Sus scrofa: one gene and its partner. The protein of the gene in region 2 interacts with the protein of the main gene of each other region in a biochemical or structural test. Links are inferred from orthologs where the notes say so. Each region holds a gene or a part of one and is shown on either strand. Other genes may lie near its edges.

What was found. The genes of interacting proteins can lie anywhere in the genome.
Region 1: the proteins of DMD (region 2) and DTNA form a complex in vitro, tested with the Homo sapiens proteins (3 studies listed by BioGRID and IntAct, with this or other methods). The link is inferred for Sus scrofa from reciprocal best matches to the Homo sapiens genes DMD and DTNA.

What each region holds. Positions count from the first base shown.
Region 1 is NC_010448.4:118,331,892-118,335,874, forward strand, and holds the start of DTNA (dystrobrevin alpha), read left to right. Parts: upstream 1-1,183; 5' UTR 1,184-1,419; intron 1,420-2,152; exon of another isoform or gene 2,153-2,465; intron 2,466-3,983. UniProt on the Homo sapiens protein: May be involved in the formation and stability of synapses as well as being involved in the clustering of nicotinic acetylcholine receptors.
Region 2 is NC_010461.5:29,646,385-29,654,583, forward strand, and holds the start of DMD (dystrophin), read right to left. Parts: upstream 4,344-8,199; 5' UTR 4,185-4,343; coding exon 4,103-4,184; intron 1-4,102. UniProt on the Homo sapiens protein: Anchors the extracellular matrix to the cytoskeleton via F-actin. Ligand for dystroglycan.

The DNA.
Region 1 (3,983 bases), on a different chromosome or scaffold from region 2:
CAATTAGCTGTAAACTAATGGAGAACAGGTTCCATGCATTAAACTCCTTTATACCCTTCAAAACATAGCACAGCGCTTCATACACACTAGGCAGTTGAAAAGGGATTGAATGAAATATAGAAATCACTATGAAATCAATGACTATACCAAAAGCATTGACTAAAATTGCTTGATATTTGCTATGTATGGCGTGCAAACTACTCAAATGAATGAGTACACACATATGCATGCAGAGATGTACAACACTCCCAGAAAAGAAAGAAAATAAATGAAAATATGAAACTGGAGAGACACACAAATATACAAGAGAATATTCTATGGAAACACTACAATAGAAAATTAATTAATCAATTAATTTTCAATCTTAGATTGTAGGTCACTTAAAAATAATCAAAATATCTCCATTATTTTTCAGTACCTTAAGTTCCCAGGAATTGATTTTAGTGAATTAGCAATCTGTGAGTAGCTGTACAATTAATATTTACAGGGAAATACTGACTTACGTGAACTTGGATAAGTCATGTTATTTGACCTATGTTTCTGTGTCTCCGAAGTGACAGTACTAGTTGCCTTCTCATCCACCTCCTCTGCAAAGATGTTCTGCAAATAAATGAGGTAATGTTTGGGAAATGTTTGCAGCTTGGGAGAGAAACCCACTGCACACATCTCAAATGTTACTATTCCATAGTCAAGCCTGGTATGTTATTGCCTCTGTTTTATTTTTTTAATCACTCAATGAATTTTATTACATTCATAGTTGTACAATGATCATCACAACCAAATTTTATAGCATATCCATCCCAAACCCCCATGCCTCTGTTTTAAATTGAAAATTGTACTGTTTGAGCCCTTGGGTTCTAACCAAAATCTGGGTCAACATAAGATGATGATTATTTTTAATTTTAATTCTGAAGCTCTGTTCAGCTCCCTTGCACGTGTGAGGGCCAACTGTAGGAAATAAACAAAGCACATAAATCAAGGTTTGAAAGAGAAATATCTTTATCCGGAAGAAAAATTTTTTTTTCTCTCAATGAAGACAGTGAACACTGTATTTCCCTGAAAGAATATTTCGGTCCAGAAAGGAGGATAGTGCATGCAGCGTGAGCGTGTGTGTGCGTGTGTGTGCATGTGTGTGTATGTGTGTGTGCTGTGCGTGCGCGCCCGCGGAGAGAAGGGCGGGGGAGGCGGATGAGGAGGATGAGATCATAGTTTCAGGATCCTCAGGAAACCCTGGTACTGGCAGCAGCCAGCCTCTGCTGTGCCCACATGACCCACAACTCTGGCAGCGGACCCGGCACTTCCAACATTATTAAATAATAAGAAAGCGGCTCGGACTCCATGCCCAAACCTCCCTACAAACCGGTGGACACCTTCTAAGAGTTTGGCGAGTCAGCGACTGAGGCGCCCGTCCATTCTAAGGTGTGTGCAAGGCGTTTTCTTCCTTGACAGCTCCCTAGTGGGGGAGGGCGCGGGAGTGCAGGGGGTCCGGGTGGCTGGCGAAGGGTGGGCACGGGGCCCGGGTGCGGCGAGTTGCCCCCGGCCGCCCGGTGCAGCGGCGATGCCCGTGACGCGCAGCCCCAGCTGCGCAGGGACCGCAGCCGCCCACGGCGCCGGGGCGCGGGCACGGGAGCTTGGCCGCCGGAGCAAGGGCAGGCGCCGCGCACCCGGCAAAGTCAAGAGTGGAAACGGGAGGCGAGCGCCGGCTGGGGGGAGGGAATCGCCCTAACGCCCACTCGCGGGGTTCCCACCTGTGCGCGGGCGCCGGCCGCCGGGAGCGCGAAGCATGTGCCGGGCGCCGCAGCCAGGACTGCGGCTCGGCGCCTCCCCGGGCGGCGGGCGGCGCCTCTGGCCCGCGGGGCGGCGGGAGTGGCTGCGGCAGGATGGCCCGCCCGGGGGCGCGGGGCCGCGCAGGTAAATGCCCGCTGCCTGCCGAGGCCCGGCCACGCCGCAGCCCCCACCCCCACCCACACCCCTACCCCCACCCCGCCACCGCTGCCGCCGCCGCTGCGCCGCTCCCGGGCGGGCCATGGCAGCTGGCTCCCTTGCGCCGCAGGTCGAGTTGTTTTTGTGGTCACTGCTACTGTCTCGGTGGTTCCCGCGGGCTGAGCTGCTGGGAGGTGGCGTGGCCACCTCCATTAGGGATGACACTCACGTGGGGAGCAGTCTAGGGGGCTATTATCGACCGGGAAGTCCGCGGTGGGGTCCTCTCCAGCCGGCGGCGTCTGCGCGTGTTGCAATGCACTGCGGTGACCGGGCGGCGGGCCGGGTGGGAGTGGGCGCCCCGTGCTGGGGAGCGGCGCGGGCCGGGCGGGCGCTGGGGGCGGGGTGGGGATGGTGAGTATTCGGCTTTTATAGCCTGTTGCCCACTTTGGAGTTTTCCGCTGGACGGACGGCGGACGCTAGGTTCGTTCTGGTAAGGGAGTGAGAGGTGGCGTGGTGTCTGTCCAAGAGACCAAAGCCAAGGAGAGAAGAGGGCTGGCGGGGCTGGGCCCAGTGGGACCACGCCTGGACTTGGTAGCAAAACTTTGGTCTTTGGCAGGCTTGGGGTATGGCTTTGAGGAGGTAAGTGTAGAGCTTGAGTAGGGGTGGGGGGAGAAAATGGACACATTCTGGCGGTGAAGTTCGCTGCCATTGGGTTCATTGTTGGTCTAAAAAAAAGGTCTTTTGATGTTTCTTCTTTTGATGTTCAGGTTTCCTATTATCTCTTATGATCACTTGGTATTTAATGTGTGTTGTGTTTCCTATGTATCAGTTACCTATGTTGCTAAAAGTATACATAATCATTCATTTCTTTTACAAAAAGGACTTATTTTGCTTATTCCAAAGGTAGAAACTTTAGGAAAAAAGCAGCTTTCCATAATGTTCCAGACACAGTCCTATGAACTTTAGCTTTATTCACTCAATTGTAGGTTTATTCACTAACCTTATGGTAGTTAATTCTTACACTACATAAGGGGTGGGTAATAATACTGTCCACCTTTCACCCATGAGGAAATCCAGATACAGAGGTGAAGTAATTTGCCCAAGGTCATTAAATGTTATTAAATGTTCAGAACCCAGTTGAGCTTTTGTACTCTAAACCAACTTTCATATATTTTTTTTTAATGAAATAGGACCCCATTGTTCCTGAAGTCTTCTCTCTATTGGCTGTATTGACCACACCACTCTACCAAGATGAACATCAACTATGTGCTACATGTTATAATTATGGCAAATATCCTTTGAGTTCTTTCCTTTTCCCACCCTTGACCAAGTTTCCTACCACAATTATAAAGAAGTGTTTATCAGTAGAGTTAAGCTTTTCAGCAGTTAGGATTTATCAGCAAAGTGTATTGTGATAAAGCAGGCGGCTGAATCTGTATGTTTGTGCTTAATTGTAAACTTCCTAAGGTATCAGTCTGTTCTTTGCTCAAGGCAGGGCCATCATTTTCTTCAGAACACCATCTTGCAGAAATGTTGAGCAAGTTTAATCATCTTTAATTCAATCACTCTGACAAGCACTTAGGCAGTTTTAAAAGAAGAATTATGCAATTCTCATTCAACTATCAGCAACTAAAAGCAGACTATATTGTGAGGGTGTTCGTGGATGTCATGCGTTTTCACCAGTTCTGTGTACTTAACACAAAGTTGGGTGGCAATGAAGTTGAAATAGTGTAAATATCTCCACTTGTTTTAAATGAATCATGATGTGAAGAAAGGTCTCAGTGGGGTGAAGTCCAACTGCAACATATTTAGAGAATTACTTCTCATTTGAGCTTATCAGGGAGCTCTCATAATACTCATTTTTATTGGACAGATGTCTCTCTTAGGTCGTCATCTGTTATCTTTTCAAGTAAATTTAATTGCTTCCCATAACGAGTTTCAAAATTATTTTGACATTCATAGATTTCCTTAAGTCTTCTCTTTCAGTTTAATTAAATTCAGTATACATATTTCACTTCCCCCTTACCTAACGTGGTAAGTGAAAAGAGGCTAGAATCCAA
Region 2 (8,199 bases):
TTACACTATAGTACAACATACTTTAGAAACTGTTATCTGTGAAAAGTATTCACTACAATTTCCTTCACAAGGTCTCTGTGGAGAGGAATCCTTACATATTAAGGCAAAGCAAAATTTTAACACTAAAGGTTTTTTTTTGTTTTGTTTTTTTGTTTTGTTTTTTTAAGTACCAAAGTAGTTCTCGTGCAAACAGGCATGATGAATTATCCTACTTATTCAGCATGATATGAACATGTAATTTTCAAGGGTTAGATAAATACAGGCTTCATTACCAAATGACTCCTTAGATACTAAATGGCCAGGAAGAAAATATTTCCAATTGAAATAATTGGCAGTTATGAAATAATGGTTATTCAAAACATCTTCTGATTTTTGTTTTTCCTTATAAAATCCTTAATATCTTTGTCCAATTTGATTCTTAGTTTGTTCTGAGTATCTAATTGTTAGTGGCAATAGGGTATAATTTAAGCCCATTAGCTCAAAGTGAAAAGAGTCCACTTATACTGCACTCTTGTTTTTAATAAACATAGTTAAAATACTAAAGAAATGAGCTAAGTGCTTTTTAAAATAGTCATTTGGCCTAACTTTTATATGTTAACCTTTACAATAGGCTCTTTATAACCAAATATATCAAAAATTTGGTGTAATAATCTCCCATAGTTGGAATTTGGAACAAAATATGAGCCTATTTATGAAAAACTGATCACCAGAAAGATCCTGTTACACCTGACTCCAAGATCTATAACTAAGAATAATCTTCCTTATGCTTTATTTTTTTCTTTTTAAAGTGATTTTTATTTTTCCATAATAGTTGGTTTACAGTGTTCTGTCAATTTCTACTGTACAGCAAAGTGACCCAGTCACACACACACACATACATTTTTAAAAAGCAAAACCTGCTCAGCTAATTTTATTCTGAAGAAAATACCTGATTTTTTTCAGTGTTAAAGAGGTTAAAAAAAAACTTTCATGACACAGATCCATAGGTACACTTTGCTCAATTATTCATACATGATTCTGTGCCAGTAAAAAATCGGAAGATGTGCCAGGAGATGCCAAATGAATACAAACCACACACACATACAAGTCATAAAACTATTCAGAGGTAGTTAATTTACATCTGGTTTAAAAAGATTAACAGCATGGAGCTGTTTATGTTACACTGAGCTATTTCTAACTACAGGAAAGCATACCCAATCAATAGGAGATCAAGTGCCAGTATTTGAGTATCCAAACAAACCAACAAACAAAATACCTGACAGTTGTAAATATACTGTATTGAAATGCTTTTAATTGCTGAGATTTTACTTTTAAGATAGCTGACTTTTTTTTGTTGTTTTGTTTTTGTTGTTTTTTTTTTTTTTGTCTTTTCTAGGGCTGCACCTGCAGTATATGGAGGTTCCCAGGCTAGGGGTCTAATTGGAGCTGTAGCTGCCAGCCTACACCACAGCCACAGCAACTCAGGATCCGAGCCACATCTTCGACCTACACCACAGCTCGCGACAAAGCCGGATCCTTAACCCACTGAGCGAGGCCAGGGATCAAACCCACAATCTCATGCTTCCTAGTTGGATTCATTAACCACTAAGCCATGACGGGAACTCCCAGATAGCTGATTTTTATACCAGAGTGAAAGTTCTGATTGGGGCTAGCCATTCATTTTCTAACAGTTTTTATCCAAGGCATAGAACTCCCATGATTATCGAGGTCATGTATGGAAAGATTAACTACGTACAAGTATTGTCCTTGTTGAAGATGAGTTAAGCATAAGCAGTTGTGAGAGGAAAAATTAAGAGATACTCAAAGTACCACACTATTAAGACTTTTCAAATGATGAATCAAGAACACCTGTATAAAAATCCATGTAATAAAGTATGACTATTTATTAAATTTTTATTTTAATTATCTTTGTATCTTCAATTTTTATGAGTTATACTTTTTAACAGTGTAAGAAACAATATTCAATAGTGCCACTGAAAACAATCATTTTATGTAGTTTATTTTTATAACCTTTGAGGCATTGTAAAATTTACCTTGTCATTTAACTAGGTCTAGGAAAGACTAATATGTGAGAGAAAGTCAGGGGGAGGGGTGGTAGCGGGGAGAATTATTTATTACCATATAACAGGTTCTTAGGTTTGCTTTTTTTTGGCATTACTGTTAGTCCCACCACATTATTTTTTTTCCTGTGCATAGAAATTGGCTACAAAAAGCATTTATTAATAGCAGATGCCCCTTGTGCTTCAGAATTAAAAACAAAATCAAAACCTATAAAAAAATACAGAAAATACGGGTTTCATGAAGGTACAGAAACTAAAATATTCAAAGCAATTTTTTTTTTTATTTAATGGGCTCTAAACCCTTAAAGGTAAGGGCTTATCAAAAAGAAAAAGGTGGGTTGTGAAAATAAAGTAACCTGTTGGACTTACCTACCACTCACCCCATGGGGAGTCTCAGTTCTAATAAAAGCTTAATTTCACAAATGTAAACAGCAACAACAACAACAAAATTCCATTTTAAAGTGACTCAAAAGTAATATCTGATGTGGAATTCAAAGTTATAGAAAGGTCAAATTTTCCTTAGAGATGGATTTAAACTAACCATTTCCACAACACAGGAACCCACACAAACCTAGTATTAAAAATAAATTTGGAGATCTTTTTCTCCTTTTCTCATGCATTGTCAAATGTAGAAGTAGCACAATATAAAAATACTTTGTAGAATTCTTAAATTAACACACTTTACCCAAAATAATACCCTGTTACAGATTTATAGTAAATGCCCTTCTGCATATTTCAGATGATAGCTACAAGGAACTTGTCTAATAAACTGTATAAACAATAGCAATTTTAAAGCTATATATGAAACTATCCAATGTATCTTTTCAAATTGCTATTTTAAGGTAATTACTTAAAACCAATTCTCTCATCCTATGTGTTGAATGAGAAGGGCATTCCATTTAGGAAAGTTTACCCTATTTCCCTTTAAAATCAGAGAAACATGTTAAGTAATGGCATGAGGAAAAGAAGATAAGAGAGATGTTAAAATTGGATACAACTATTCCTCCCAGGCATTGTCAGAGGTACCATTCTTTTTTGACTTAGGGGCACCATTACTTGCATATACAAGTTTACTCCTTGTGAAAAGAAATCCTGCTCTGAACTCCTTTTGGGGAGTTTATAACCAATTTTTGTTTCTTACTCATTTTTGTTTGCTTTCTACTGTGATATTTTCTTTAATTTCTTATCAGAAATACACTTGCACATTAACTTTATGCCTTTGTCTTCTTCAACATTCAACACAATTTTGCTGTCCACAATTTGGTGCATTTCCAAGGGTGAGAGGAAGGGATTCAAGCAGCTGAAACTTCATCCTTTGGTAAAGCTTAACAGCTGCTTCCATTTACAGCTTTAAAGACCTATCCTAGTTTACAAGTGTTTGCACATGTAGGCCAGACTACCAAATACTTGAAGATTCTTTACAAATGAAAGGGCACTGTGGTAACCTGCAAAAACCTTAGACTTTTTATTCCTGCTTCTTTACTGGTTTTCAACTCCTATAGTTATGCTCTGGGCACGCAAACCTTCCTGCCCTGCCCTTCTGACATTTTCCTACAAGTGAGGTGAAACTTCTCAGATTTCTTAACTCAGCACTTGGCCACACCCTGACCAGCAGGCCTTCCCACACCTCCCCACCCCTCTCTCCTCAAAGGCTATTACTACGACAATATTTCTTTTAAATTAGTCTGCTTATTCTTTTACATTTTTAAAATACGTTACCATCCTATAATAAAACCAATATCCCGAGGCTTTCTTGAAAAAAAAAAAAAGAGAGAGAGAGAGAGAAAGAAATTCGCCCACCAGTATCTACCTGACCCAAAAGAAAAACGTGAGTTTCGGCTTTTTCGAGGAGCGGCGCCCCCTCCTCCCTCGGACCCACCCTCCCAAGCTCGGGGGCGTAGTGATTGTCCCCTGCTGCTCCTTCACTCCTCGCCACAACAACTTTCCGAAACCCTGTACTAACTTCTAGGGCACAGCCTCTGCAGAGAGGAGCCGCAACGCTCGACACCCCCACGCTAAAAAGCAAAACAGCAAGGTCCTACCAGCGCGGCTCCTGATGACGTCGGTGAATCCATCTCCAGCGGCATCTTCCCCTGACTGCTCCGGACCCCTTGGCTGAGCCATAGCCACACGCCACGTGCCCTGGCTCTCCCACGCCCCAAACTTTGGAGGCAGGTGGGTCCGCGCGGTCTGCCTGATGCTCTCCAAAGCAGGTAGCGCGCTGGAGATCCGGTGTATGAGGGTGGATTTATCACCTTCCTGGGTCCTCACCCACGGAAATAGGGATGCGTGGGGGTGGGTGGGGTGGAGTGGGGCGGCGGGAAGGGATGGTGAGCTGGAAAACACACAAACACCAACACCTGGCTTGGTGGAAAGAGGGGGCGGTTAAAATGCCCAGCTCATGCTTGAGAAGAGGAAACAGGTGCGATTCCCACTTCCTGCCCCCAAAATAGAGTGGGCGAGGACTGGAAGGTGAAAGCTGAGGAGGGACCCGATGGTCAATAAATACACCAGCAAGTTGGAGACTCGCTTTTCCACGCTGCGCAGAATCGATGCAAAAACAGGAGCAATTAGGGAATCGCTTGCCAAAAGCAGCACATGAGGTCATGAATGATTTAGCATTGCCACTTATAAGATGACTACACTGAAGAGAAGGGTCACTGGCTTTAGCTATCTGGGTCACTCACACGTGTGTACCCCACCATCGTTGTATCCTGACTCTAATGCACTGACAAGAAGTGGGGAATACAGGCTGAGCATAATCATATTTCTTAGGAGATTTCTCCAAAGCTACCCACCCTTCTTTCTGTGTGTAATCACTCTCCCTCCTCCATCCCTTCCTCCCACCACTGAAGCTAGAATTAGATTGGACTATAAACAGCTCGTATGACATTATTTTCTAAAAATTTCAGAAGCTACTTTCATTTGGTTAGTAACCTTACTCCTCCCCCCTACCCCTACACATATATAGTTCATCCTGCATTTCTTCCTGCAGAAGCTCAGTCACCCCAAATCCTGCCCATCACCTACCAAAGACAAATTAACTTTACAAGAAGAGCTTGGCAAGGGGCCTAGCAACAGCTAAGGATTTTCTTTTCCTGTTTTCCTCTGCATTTTCATCCAGAGTAGATTCTTAGCCTCTTCTAAAGCAGGGTTCTCTACCATTGCTAGACAGTGGAATCATCTGGGGAACTTTACAAACCACTAAGGCCTGGTTTCCACTCCCAGAAATGATGATTAATTGTGCTGGACTCTCACCTGGGCATTAACAGTGTGAAAAGCTCTCCAGTTATTCCAATATGCAATCAAGTTTGAAAAACATTGTGATAAAGGGACTTACAGACAGACAATCGGGTGCCTTCATAAAGGCAATTTTATCAGTAACCCTCTTCCATTTCCATTATATTGCCTTAGGTTAAAAACATAATATATTTGCTGTCGTGTTTTCTATCCCCAGATTGGCCTTTTGCATAGCAGTGGATAATTTATGTTGACAAAAATGTTATGCTTCACTCCAAAATTTCCTTAAACATAGAACAACTCTCAGGATGGAGCCTCAACCAGGTATTTCTCAATTAGCATCAGCCTGAGATGTTATGCCTATTGAAAATCTGTCTTTGTCATTATTTACAGGCAGATATTTTATGTTTCCCAAATACTTATTATTATCAGACCTTTCAGTCCTCTTTCTAAAAAGTTCATCAGATGGGAAATATTCAGAGACATAACACAGCTCCTATTTCAGAAAGGAATAGAAGCACAAGAATTGTTCAGAATTTTTTTTAAACACAAAGATTGGGGCACACCCCATTTTATATGATTATGCTACTCTGATCAGAGCAGTAAGGAATTGGTACTGGAATAGACAAAATTATGGAACAGAATAAAATCCAAAAAGAAATCCTGCCAAAGTGGTACACTAAATATATTTCCATTCAGTCATTTAAAATGGAATATATGATAATAGTGTTTCCATAAAGTTAGACTCATGTAATTTAAACTATTTGAGTTTCAGATAGATTAAAAATCCAAATATACAAAATAAAACCAAATGAGGAATCTATAACAGTTTAAGTTTATGGGGGCATTCGTAAACAAACACTAGATTATAAACCTACGAGAAGGACCCATCAGAAATATGATTAGAACTACTTGGGATCCAAAAAATGTGTAAGACACTTAGATTAAACTGATGAGAGGTATAGTTGTTAGAATAACATTCAATTCTGGAAAGGGGATGAGAAAAAAGCTATTCATATTCCACACTGGTGAAATATTGATACATTTTAAGAAAATAACATGAAAATAGCTATTAAAATGTATGTAATCTGTTGCGCATCAATTCGTCTTTTAAGAATCTACCTTACAGAAATAAAATCAGCAGCATATAAGGATATATATATATATATATATATATGTTTTTTTATTGATGCCTTATTTCTAAGAACATATTCACTGAAAACCACCCAAATGTCTTTTAATTGGGAACTCTTTGAAACAATTATTTCAAACAAGGGAATATAATGCAGCTACTTTTTCAAAAGAATATGATTTGTACCATAACCAAGTTATTCTCAAAACAAAACAAATCCAGTGCTATAGTAAAACAACAATATATGTATCACAATGAAGTTCATTTTATTTGGGCAAACAAAGGTTCATTTTAATACCTGAAACCCAGTTATTGTGATTGATCACATTAAAAACACACTGGGAACTATGTCTGGTCACTTATGATGGAGCAAGATAATGTAAGAAAAAAGAATGTATACATGTATGTGTAACTGGGCCACCATGCTGTACAGTGGAAAACTGACAGAACACTGTAAACCAGCTATAATGTAAAAAAATAAAAATCATTATATATATATAAAAGATAAATGCAGAGAAATTATTCAAACATTTAACTCAAACTCACAAAAAGTAAAAAAATACAAAACCTCCTGGTGAACTAGGAATAGAAGGAATGTTCCTTAATCCACTAAAATGTTTGTATAAATTATATCAAATTCTACTTTAATATACTAGTCAGCATAACAAGAAAACAAAGTAAAAGTTATGAGGTTTGGAAAAGGAGAATGAAGTTTTTATTGTTTGCAGGCTACATATACATAGAAAATCCACAGAATCCTCAGATAAAATATTACAATCAATAAATAGATTTAACAAGGTTTCTCGGTGTTATGTTAATGTCTAAAAATTAATTGTATTGCTATAAACTATTTTTAAATGATTTTTAAGAATAATTTCATCAACAAACATAAAATATGTGCAAGAACTCTAAACACATACATAGTATAAATGAGCAAAATTAAAAAATACCTAAATAAATGGAGAAATATATTATAGTCATGGATTGGTAAGATTAAGGTTGTAAAGATGTAAACTCCCCTAAAGTTGATCTGTAGAGTTAGTGAAGCCCCAATCAGTCCCACCAGGAGTGTGTGTGTGTGTAAATTCTAAAATACATGTAGACATAAAAATGGGTCTAAATAGCCAAGAGAATCTTAAGAAGAACAAAGTTGGAGAGTTTTCACTAACAGATAATTACAAATTATTGTGGAGCTATTGTAATTCAAACAGTGTGCTCTTGGTGTGAGGATAGACAAATACTACAATTAACTGAAAGTACAGACTCATATATATAATCACCTGATTTATGACAAAGGTGGCACTATCATTCATAAGGAATGAAAATTCCTCTCAGTAAATAGTGTTGGGTCAGATGGAGATTCAATTTTAGACTTAAATGTAACAACTGTTAAAGGAAAAATAATAAAAATGCCATAGAAGATAACATAAGAGAATGGTTTCATGACCTTGGGATGGACACTTTTTTTTAAACAGGATTTCAAATTCTAAGATTAAAGGGAAAAGATTGGCATATTGACTACATTAATATGAGAAATTCTATTTGTCAGTGCCAGGGTCCAGCCCCAGCAGCCAGGAGACGACGAACAGGAGGAGGGGCTACAAACAGGCACGGAAAGAATTGGAGCCAACTCCCTCAGCAAGTGCTGCAGATGACCCAATTTATTAAATGAAAAGCATCAGTTTTTATACCCTATCACAATGAGGTTTCGTGTAAGATTTGACATTAACATTTGATTTAAAGCCCTTTTGTTCCCTCCACCTGAGA